Linked DNA regions of Caenorhabditis elegans. The protein of the gene in region 1 purifies or fractionates together with the protein of each later gene. This does not show direct contact. Each region holds a gene or a part of one and is shown in the gene's direction. Other genes may lie near its edges.

Evidence for each region.
Region 2: the proteins of C15H7.4 (region 1) and acbp-3 fractionate together in Caenorhabditis elegans (co-fractionation; one large-scale study listed by BioGRID). This does not show direct contact.

What each region holds. Positions count from the first base shown.
Region 1 is NC_003281.10:9,653,363-9,658,317, reverse strand, and holds C15H7.4 (PH domain-containing protein), read left to right. Parts: upstream 1-2,415; 5' UTR 2,416-2,458; coding exon 2,459-2,500; intron 2,501-2,560; coding exon 2,561-2,694; intron 2,695-2,840; coding exon 2,841-3,008; intron 3,009-3,061; coding exon 3,062-3,280; intron 3,281-3,444; coding exon 3,445-3,595; intron 3,596-3,639; coding exon 3,640-3,909; 3' UTR 3,910-3,964; downstream 3,965-4,955.
Region 2 is NC_003284.9:10,901,508-10,906,307, forward strand, and holds acbp-3 (Acyl-CoA-binding protein homolog 3), read left to right. Parts: upstream 1-1,764; 5' UTR 1,765-1,773; coding exon 1,774-1,834; intron 1,835-1,917; coding exon 1,918-2,038; intron 2,039-3,226; coding exon 3,227-3,320; intron 3,321-3,404; coding exon 3,405-3,479; 3' UTR 3,480-3,581; downstream 3,582-4,800. Other genes in the region: F47B10.8 (MARVEL domain-containing protein), read right to left, coding at 3,880-4,034, 4,085-4,161, 4,213-4,292, 4,347-4,456, 4,578-4,671. UniProt on the Caenorhabditis elegans protein: Binds medium- and long-chain acyl-CoA esters with very high affinity and may function as an intracellular carrier of acyl-CoA esters.

The sequences.
Region 1 (4,955 bases):
ATTTTTTCGTACTAACTATATTTCGGAAATTGAAATGGTTCATTATAATATAATAGATTAAAGGCTCCTAAACATACAAAAAGTATCAAATGTATATTTCCGGAAATTCTAATTTCCAATCGATAATTTCGGCAATTGCCGGTTTTGTGAATTTTCGGCAATAGCCGAAAATTCGATTGCCGAACTGCAATTGTCCGGCACCCCTGGTTACAAGTACTTTTTTTATTAAAAATCCCTTTAAAATATTTTCGGTAAATTGATCATCGGCAATCTGTCAAAAATTAAATATTCTGACAAATCGGCAAATTGCTGAAAATTTACTTTTTCATAAGATTCATAAATTCTTGTTCAGATCATTTATTTGTTTTAGAGCCATGATGTTTGATGTCATTCAAAAAAAAAAAAACAGCAGGAGCAGACAGCGCTTGGTTTTTCATCAACGATTTCTCGTGTTTTCTGGGCATCAGACAAATCCCACTATTTTTCTTTTTATTCTACTAAAATAGTTTTTTTTTTCGGTAGGGTCACAGAGAAAGCGACAGCTGTGTCTAGACAAAAAGGCATTAATAAGTCGTACTTTGGTGAAGATGATAGGGGACCATGTGGAGGAAGGTGTTCTTGTCAAGGTTGGAGTGAAATGTCCTCTACGATTGACGACTAGTTACAAAATTTTTATATTTTCGAAATGACATGTTTTCACAGATACGTAGGGAGCGCTTAAAATATCTACAAAATGAAAAATTTAATAGATCTCGAACAAATAGGGAATTAATCTGAAAATTTCCAATTTTTTACAGCTCTCAAATTTAAGTTATCAGAAAGAAGTTATGGCTGTGGAGTTTTCTGATTGTAACAAAAAAAAATCGGTTGTCTTTTAAAGATAATCAAACATTTCTAAACCACGTAATTTATTTAAAATAACAATTCATGTAATGAAAAACGAAAATATTCAGGTCGATTTTTTGTGTGACATTTACCAGAAAATACTGCTCTTTTTGATGAGAAAGTTTACTAACAATAACATCGAATTGAATATTTTGGACAATCAAACATTTCTCAGTATGGCATGGCAGTTTGGATATCACTTCGTTTCAAGAAAAACTGTAATAGATGAAATATTGTTTAAAACCGTTTTAATTATGTTAAAATATTCAATTATCGAAAAAAAACAGTGGTGAAAACTCAGATGATATAAGTTTAGAAGTCGAGCGAAGCTCAAAAGTTTTCAAAACTTTGATTGAATTCTTTGAAAATTCTAAAATTGTTGTTCCATCTTCAAAAGACAAGCCATTTCAAATCATTCTTATCTGAAAAAATTGGAAGCTATGATCCTAATTGTTTGAGATAATGCAGCGTGAATGGGGATTTTTTGAAACATACTTTTTAAAAAATGTCAAAAATTCTACATATCCAAATAGAAACTGAAGTGTTTCAGGTTTTTTTTTGACATTTTCAGTCAAAGTTTTCGGCACACTGCCAAATTATTGAAAAATTTGAACTTGATCAATGCTTCAAATCATATACTACGACGTTTGATTGAATACAGATAAATAAAACACAATCGAAATTCAAAAAATCGTACCACCTAGCCGAATAGGTGAAAATTGAGTAATTGCCATTTTTGAATGTAACTTAAAAAATGTTAAATGATTTTTTTGAAGTGTTACTATGATATTTGATTATTTTAGCAGCAGCTTTCTGATAAAATTTCATTTCAAATCTGGTATTTATGAAGAATCACTTTTTTCCGTTTCGTTTTTTATTTGTGAATGTAAACGGATTCTATTAGATCAGTCTATAAATCGTAGGCGAAAAAATCACCAAACAAACAAAAAGACAACATTTTTATGAAGCCATTTTATGTCATCTTAACTATGTGATGTTAGAAAGACTAACGGTCAATAGACAAGTGGAGAACAAACATTCGGAGTAGGAGTAGATAACAATTGTTGCAATGTGTAAGAAAAGCAAAGAAAAACTATTCAGAACGGGTTTCCTGAACAATTGATCTTTAGTTTGAGAACAAGAAATTACGGAAGAATATACTAATAGATAAATTTAGAGTCGAGGGATTTAAACTATAATTATCCTATTTCATGAATCTGAAATTTCAGAAGAAAGAGTTTTTCAACTTTCAGGGTAATCTGTAACTTTCTCTCAAATGTTTTCAAATAACTGACACACTGAGGTTTCGATACAGATAAAAACTCACGGTATCATAAATTTCAAATTGTGTAGCGTTTGCCTCCTTGTCTATCGGCCCTGAAAACGCTTTCATTTAGAAGATAACTTGTTTAAAAAATTTAAATTTTAACTATGTTTTGCGTGAACTTTCTGTTTTTCTATTTAAAAAGCCTTTCCGTCCTTATACCCCCCCCCCCCCCAATTTCATAAAAATTAAGAACATTTCTCGATATCTTCACAATTTTAAATATTCTTAAAATATTCATAACAAACTATGTGCTCGGTGAAACCAAAATACATTTCACTGCCAGAGCAGGTACGTTTCTTTTTCTTGGATAAAGCGAGTAACATTTCTTTTCATTTAAAAAAAACTCAGAATTCTCTGTGCTCGCTTCCGAACTCGGGATGTTGTCAAGTAGAGGTAAAGATAGGAAGATCGAAATGGGAACAACAAAAGGCGATTCTGGTCAAAGTGGATGGTGAGCCGGCTGGAAAAATCTTCATTTACTCGTGAGTTTGAAAAAATTGGCAATTTGCATTCTAAGGGGGTACGCTACACGCCCGGCGGGGAGAAGTGTACCAGTCACACCTTCGAATATCTATGCAGGGAATGACTATATGTATTTCCATTTAATATGTAAAATATGTGCTTCCAGACAACCTCTGATTGGCCAAATGTATCCCCTTCACGAATTGAAAAGTATGGGAGTAATCTGCGAGAAAGCAGGAGATTTTTTGGTGAATTTGGTGACAGAAAGAGGATTGAAACTCACGTTCAAACCAATCGGATCTACTGCAAACTGTTTTGTGACTGCCTTGGTCAGGTACGTTCACATCCAATTGCTTCACTTTTAATGAAAAAGAAAGCAATTTTCAGCGGGAATTTCACATCATTGACTCACGAAACTCACATAAAAACACCGCTTCAAAATCAAGAAGCAACAACCTCTCCTACTATAGAATCAGATCTGACAGATAAACCAGATACAAATGTGTATACAGGATCACGAGAAGGATACGTTGCACCATCAGAAAAAGGATCAAACGAGAAGAAGAAGGAAGTAGTTCCCAATGGTGGAGATAAATCTGTTGAGAAGTGAGTGAGGCTGTTATGAGCATACGGGGAGTTCCGGGAACAGCGGGAAAATATCGGGCAAACCATTTGTCCGGTTATTTATCCGGTTGTAGTCCGCTGTCGCACGGGACGTCCCTTTTTGTCCCTAATAACATCCCTCCTTTTCCAATTTAATATACTTTCAGTAAGAAGGGATCGGACAGAAACGTGAAAAAGACACCTTCAAAAACTGTCACAAAACCTCTATTGTCTGAGTCACGGAAACGGAAAGAAGCCAAAACATTAGCTACGACGCAGTCACAAGATCTACCAGCTCCAACGAAAGATGAACCAGAGGTACTCTTTTATTGTTTTTTAGATTTATAATTTAATTGTTTAAGCGTACGAATTCCGAGCCTGACAATGGAGAACAAGAAAAGATTAAAAAGGAGAAAAAGAAGGGAACTGAAACATCCTTAAAGGATGGGAAGAACAAGTTGAATGAGAAGATCGTGAAGCCAGCTCCAACAACAACTCCAGATGCAGGTAATGGCGGATTGACACCTGGTAAAGAAGACAATAAGAAGACTGTGACGACATCTTCAGTTGAGATTGAAGTTCCTGAAAAGAAGAAGGCCGTAGAGAATGCAGGGATTATCAAGATTTCTTGATCTGAACTTTGATATTGATTTTATTCTTTTTCTCACTATCAGAATAAAATACTTCTCTCATTTTTTCGTACTTTTACTCTACTTTACGTACAGTTTAGGATAATAATCACATAAGTGATAGAACACTACTTTTTGAATAAATCGTTTTCTTTTAGTAGTTTTAAATCTGGAACTTCATGAACTTCTTTACCAAAAGTTTATAAATAATTTACTAAATACTTCATGTCTTATTGCCTACAAGCCTACTCGCCTATTTCGTGCCCGCCTACTTACTTTGTGTGGCCAACAACGGACGGCCTTTCTAGGCTCTAGATGACGTACAGTTGAGGCCCACTTTAATATATGTAGTAACATTATTGCGTTCTTGAAACAAACAAAAATAATTCAATACATGCCATTTATTTCGAGTTGCAAATAAAAAAGAGTTCTGATTCAAAAGATCCGGGATAACTCGATGTTTCACTTCTTTCCCCTCCAAACAACATTAGCCAAAATCTCCTGTAGTGCATCACCCCAATCTCTCTCGTTACCATTCTTATCGCAGATGACAACTTGTGGAATGTAGCCTTCCCACCGAAAATTCAATTTCTTGAAGAATTATTTTGCAAACTTACATGCTCAACACGTTTACGACTGATTCCACAAATTTGATTGATTGTCAGTCCGGTCAATGACAATGTACCTTTTTGAGTACAAAGGACATGAAGCTGAAAAAAATGTCAGTTAAAATTAAAACAAAAGAACGTTTGATTGAAAATCTTACCTCGTTATAAAACTTGTCTGCAGTGGTCCGTTGTGTCGGTGCAGATACGAGGACATCTTTGAGAAGGCGAATAACGAGCTGGCAGATGAGGTTCTTCACCGTTGTCTTCCGCTTTCATTGCACTCTCATTTCGACGAACTTTAAGACCCATTCCAAAATCAGACAACTTCACAAAACCATTGACTGAGATGAGGCAGTTACGAGCAGCAATATCACGATGAGTGATAGACATTGCATGAATGTAATTGAGGCCAGCTGAAGCATCATGCAAATACAGAAAACG
Region 2 (4,800 bases), on another chromosome or scaffold:
AAAATACACCACTCTTCAATTTCAGCCAGAGCAGGCACCAAAATCATCTCTACATCTACAAAGGTGACAACGTGGAACGTAACGTGGAAACGAAAACAAAAATGAAAACGTCGAAAACATGAAAACGTATAAATGAATACAAAGTTTTATTACTGAACTCAGCAGAACAGTTTTTTATTTTTATTTTAGAACGACATTATACAACCACAGTAAAAACAGTGACTATAATAATTATTCTATAAAGAAAATTAACTTTGTTGAAAATTCTAAAATCTTATAAATACGGTTGATCAGTTACCATGTGTTTGTTACTATTTGTCAGACAGGTAAATTTTTTGAAAAACATAGCCACCAAAATAAAAACACGCAACAAAGTCTCACGTGGTCATTAAGCACCAAATTTGAAACTAGTCGCAGTAACATGGAAGGTTATCTTTCCAGTAAAACGTCATGCCACTAATGTTTGCTGCAGCTACGCAACTTGAATTCCATGTTCTTATCAGATAACACGTTGTATAGTCAAAAATCTAATGTGATGTCTGTATCATTGTGTTTGTCATGATCTTTTTGTATATTTTAAAAACCTATTTTCAACTTTTAATGTGATTTTTGTAATTCTTGAAAAAAGACGACCGTCAAGCATTATGAGGGACAAAAATTCATCTACGAAACATTTACTAAAAATTTAACGTTTAAAAAATTATTTATACTCCAAACTAGGTATTTTCCTTGTTTATCCGAGAAAAAAACTAATAAGTACGTAATCCAAATAAGCATTTGGCAAAATTGAAGATTTAATTAAACTGTCTGAAACGAGTAACTTATCGGAAACAGTCGTAAATTTCAAAAAACATTCAATTCTTTTAAACTGGGTGTCTTCATAAAGTTTGCAAAATATACGAACAACAGAGAAAATAAGGCAACAATCGGTGAATTCATAAAATAAATATATTATACTTTTTTTTGAAGTTTATGGTAAACTTTGATTATTTTCTATTATTATTTTCGATTGTTTCCCACTTTTTGTTATGCTCTGAATATTACAAGAAAAGTGAAATACATTTTGGTACGTGTGTATTTTATTTTGAAAGTATATTGAAGTTTCTACAAAGAATTTTTTTACATTTTATATTAAAAAGATTTGAAATATTTCATATGGTTTTTGAACATTTTTTGATGTACAGCAACCACATAAATTTCAATTTAGAAGTAAATTCTAACAATAAGAATACACGTTTTTACTATTGTCAAATACCTGAGTTCAATTTATTCTATTTTTTTCTCAAAATGATATTATCCTATTCCATTCTCCAATGGTATCCTTTAAATGAGTGTAATCTCTCACCCGCAGTTTTCCGGACAATTAATTGTACTGTCCTTCCCGAAGACCAGCGCCAATGATAAAAAGATGACGTCTTGTTCACGGGAAGACACGATACTGAATGGGTCATCTTTATATCCAGGGAAAAGATTTAGGTCAACAGCAGCAGCCCGTTTGTCCTTGTAAATCCGATCGGGCTGACGGCGCCCAACGGCACTACTCACAGATTTCTTCACGTTCAGTTCTCCCTGTTTTGTACTTTTTGGATTCTAGTCTCGTTTTGATGTCTTGTTTGATTTAAACCGTGTTTGATAACTAAGTAAATAGGTGTAGTTTATTTCAAGGCCTTTGAAAAAGTCAATCAATTTGCAATTTGAAAACCGCTTCGAACTTTTTAATCTTTTTAATCTATTCATTAACCTAAAAATTTCAACGCTTTCTTATTTCAGAAAATGTCTCTTCAAGAAAAGTTCGACGCTGCTGTGGAAATCATCCAGAAACTTCCAAAAACAGGTACGTTGGACTTTGATTCGCTACAATGCTACAAACTATGCTATGATGTAGTTGATTCAAAGCTAAATTTACAATTTTTCTAGGACCAGTTGCCACCAGCAATGATCAGAAGCTTACCTTTTACTCTTTGTTCAAACAGGCTTCTATCGGAGATGTGAACACCGATAGACCAGGAATTTTCTCCATCATCGAGAGAAAGAAGTGGTCAGTTTTTTTTTTCATTATTCCTTTGTCTGATTCGAAAAAGGGGAATTCTTTTTTTCTTATTTCATTGACAAATGAGTCATGACCGCGTGGCTAGCTAAACTGCATCAGAATTGCGTGAGTTATGTGTGTTGATTTTTTGACCGCAATATATATTAACTTATCGCTATGCAACAAATGTCGGCGTTGTGTCTGCAAACGATGCAATTATCATTTTCTTCGAATATGGTGCCACAAAAAACGAGTAGGAACGGATGATTGTGAAATTATCAATAAAAAGTTTTGAAGAAATGTAGAGTGTCGTTTCTGATCATTGGTCTCTTCAAAACCATAAACTATGTTTGAAATACCCCTTAAAAATAACACGAAGCCTGTATTAATGTTTTCACGTTTGTAGAAACATGGATTCAAAAAATAATTCCGTTCATGGGTACTTGTGTAGTTACTGTATCCCACAATGTATGCAATGGATAAAATTCCAAAATGACCACAACGTAAATAACCATTTTAATGCTCAATTCATTTTTAGGTTTAGATTTTTCCTAAGTCTAAAATTCAAAAAGAACTCATATTGTATTTTTGAAAAAAATTAAAAAGATTTTTTGGTGTACTGATATTACACAAGTACTCGTTCATGAATAAAAAGAACGAACCCATCAAACATATGTGTTGGTGGAACATTATTTCAATGCTGGCGATAGTGAAGGTTTTATTCTAAAAGGCAATAATACAAAAAAGGCAATTTAAATACAAGTATTATTTAAAATCAGAAAGTTTCAAAAGAACGAGTGATCGTATCTAATTATAACAGTCGTGATTTTGAAACATCCATAAAAAGGTAGTATATCTTGTAATGTTTTCTATTTATTTCATTGGCTGGCGCTAAAAAAAAAGTTGTAAAAGTGTGGAGTGCTAAGATCGCAATTCTAAACAGACTGCTGGTATAATTTTTCAAACACCGATTTTTAGTGCACTTTTAATAGTACACATTTCTAATAAAATGTACAATAGTAATTGAAAAAGTTAGATGGGTCAGTTCCAATAACTCAAAATAGTTTAACTACTTGTCTGAAAATGGTACGTTGCGACTATTGATGTTGAAGCCATGTAAAAATAACAATTAATTCCAACTGGCTCACAGTATTTACTGGCATTTTCCTGACCAACCCCAGTTAATCCGATTTCCAGGGACTCATGGAAAGAGCTCGAAGGAGTGTCTCAAGATGAAGCTAAAGAGCGTTATATCAAGGCTCTAAACGACATGTTTGACAAAATCGCCGAGGTATGTGAATGGGTCTTGTCGGCAAACGTTTGAAGTTTTTGTAGCAGAAACTAGTAGTTACGTTCAGAATTACTTTGTTTTCAGGAACTTGATGTTGCCGCTTGGCTTGAACAAATTGACCCAGTCATCAAAACCAACCTCGCTCTCATTGGAAAGTAAATCTTAATTATCATAAACATTTTTTTTTCAAATTTCGAACAATATAATTATTTGTATTGCTTCTTGATACTAAATAAATATGAATTAATTTTGTAAATTGAATAACTCTATAGTTTTACTGTACATTGGAAGAATCTTGCATGAAAATGAAAACTATGAATTGCATTTGTAATAGTGAAATTTGAACATTGTATGTATACATAATTTTTATTGCAGTAGAGTTGAAACTGTGAATAAATTTTAAATCCACAATATAAAATAAAAATGAAAATCAGACGAGCACCCGAGAAGGAAATTAAATGAATTCGGAATACATAAGAGATCAACATAATGTTTGTGTGTAAGAGATAGTTCAATAGAAAGCACGAGGTTAAACATTTCAGATAAAACATTGCAAAGGTTATAAGCGTTCCTTTTTATCCATTTCCTCTCTCTTCTTGTCTTCCTGGTATGCAAAAAACTGAAAAGTGCGGTAGACAACATGCAAAAATATGCAATTTATGACTATAACAAACGACATGGCAGCCATCACACCCAGTGTGACCAGGATTGCAGCTGAAAAATTTTGAAGTATAAATATTCACAAGTAGTATAATCGTTCTCACTGGTAACACTTTCTCTTGATCGGAAGTGATACTCATCTGGATTTGATCGCAAAGCTTTAAGATTGTCGAGGATGTTCCTGTAAATATAGTTGTTTTTAGTTTGTTCCGAGTCTGTTAGTTCCCAAAACCTCGATACATCACTAGTTCCCTTCAACATGTGGTACACAAAAACCAGGAACAAAATTATCATGCCAAAGTTCCATATTACCTGCAACATAATTATACGTTTCATGAAAAAGAACGAAGCAAAAAATAAACATACATTGTAAAACAAGTACGGCTTCAGCAATCCCGAACGTTGCTTTGAGACACCACAAAACAGAGTCAGCAGAGAAATGCAGTCGAATATAAGAAGGAACGCTTCGAGATATCCTGCAAAAAAGAAAAATAGAGAAAAGAATTATATGAATGAATTACAAATTGGATTTTGAATAAATTTAGCAAAACAAGTATGCAAATAGTTGGTATAAACAAGAAATTGTGACGTGCTTACCGTTTAGACCGAGTTTTGAGATGCCCATAAAATATAGAACAAGGTTTATGATAAATCCTAAAAAGGCAAATACTGCAACTGCTCGGCACGCTTTCTGAAATGTTGTTGTTGTTTTTTAAACATTATATTTCAACTTTCTTTTATTATCTGCATCGTAGAAAAACTATTCAAATCACATTTATAGTCAACAATTTTTAAAAAAATTCACACATTTTTTTGCAGT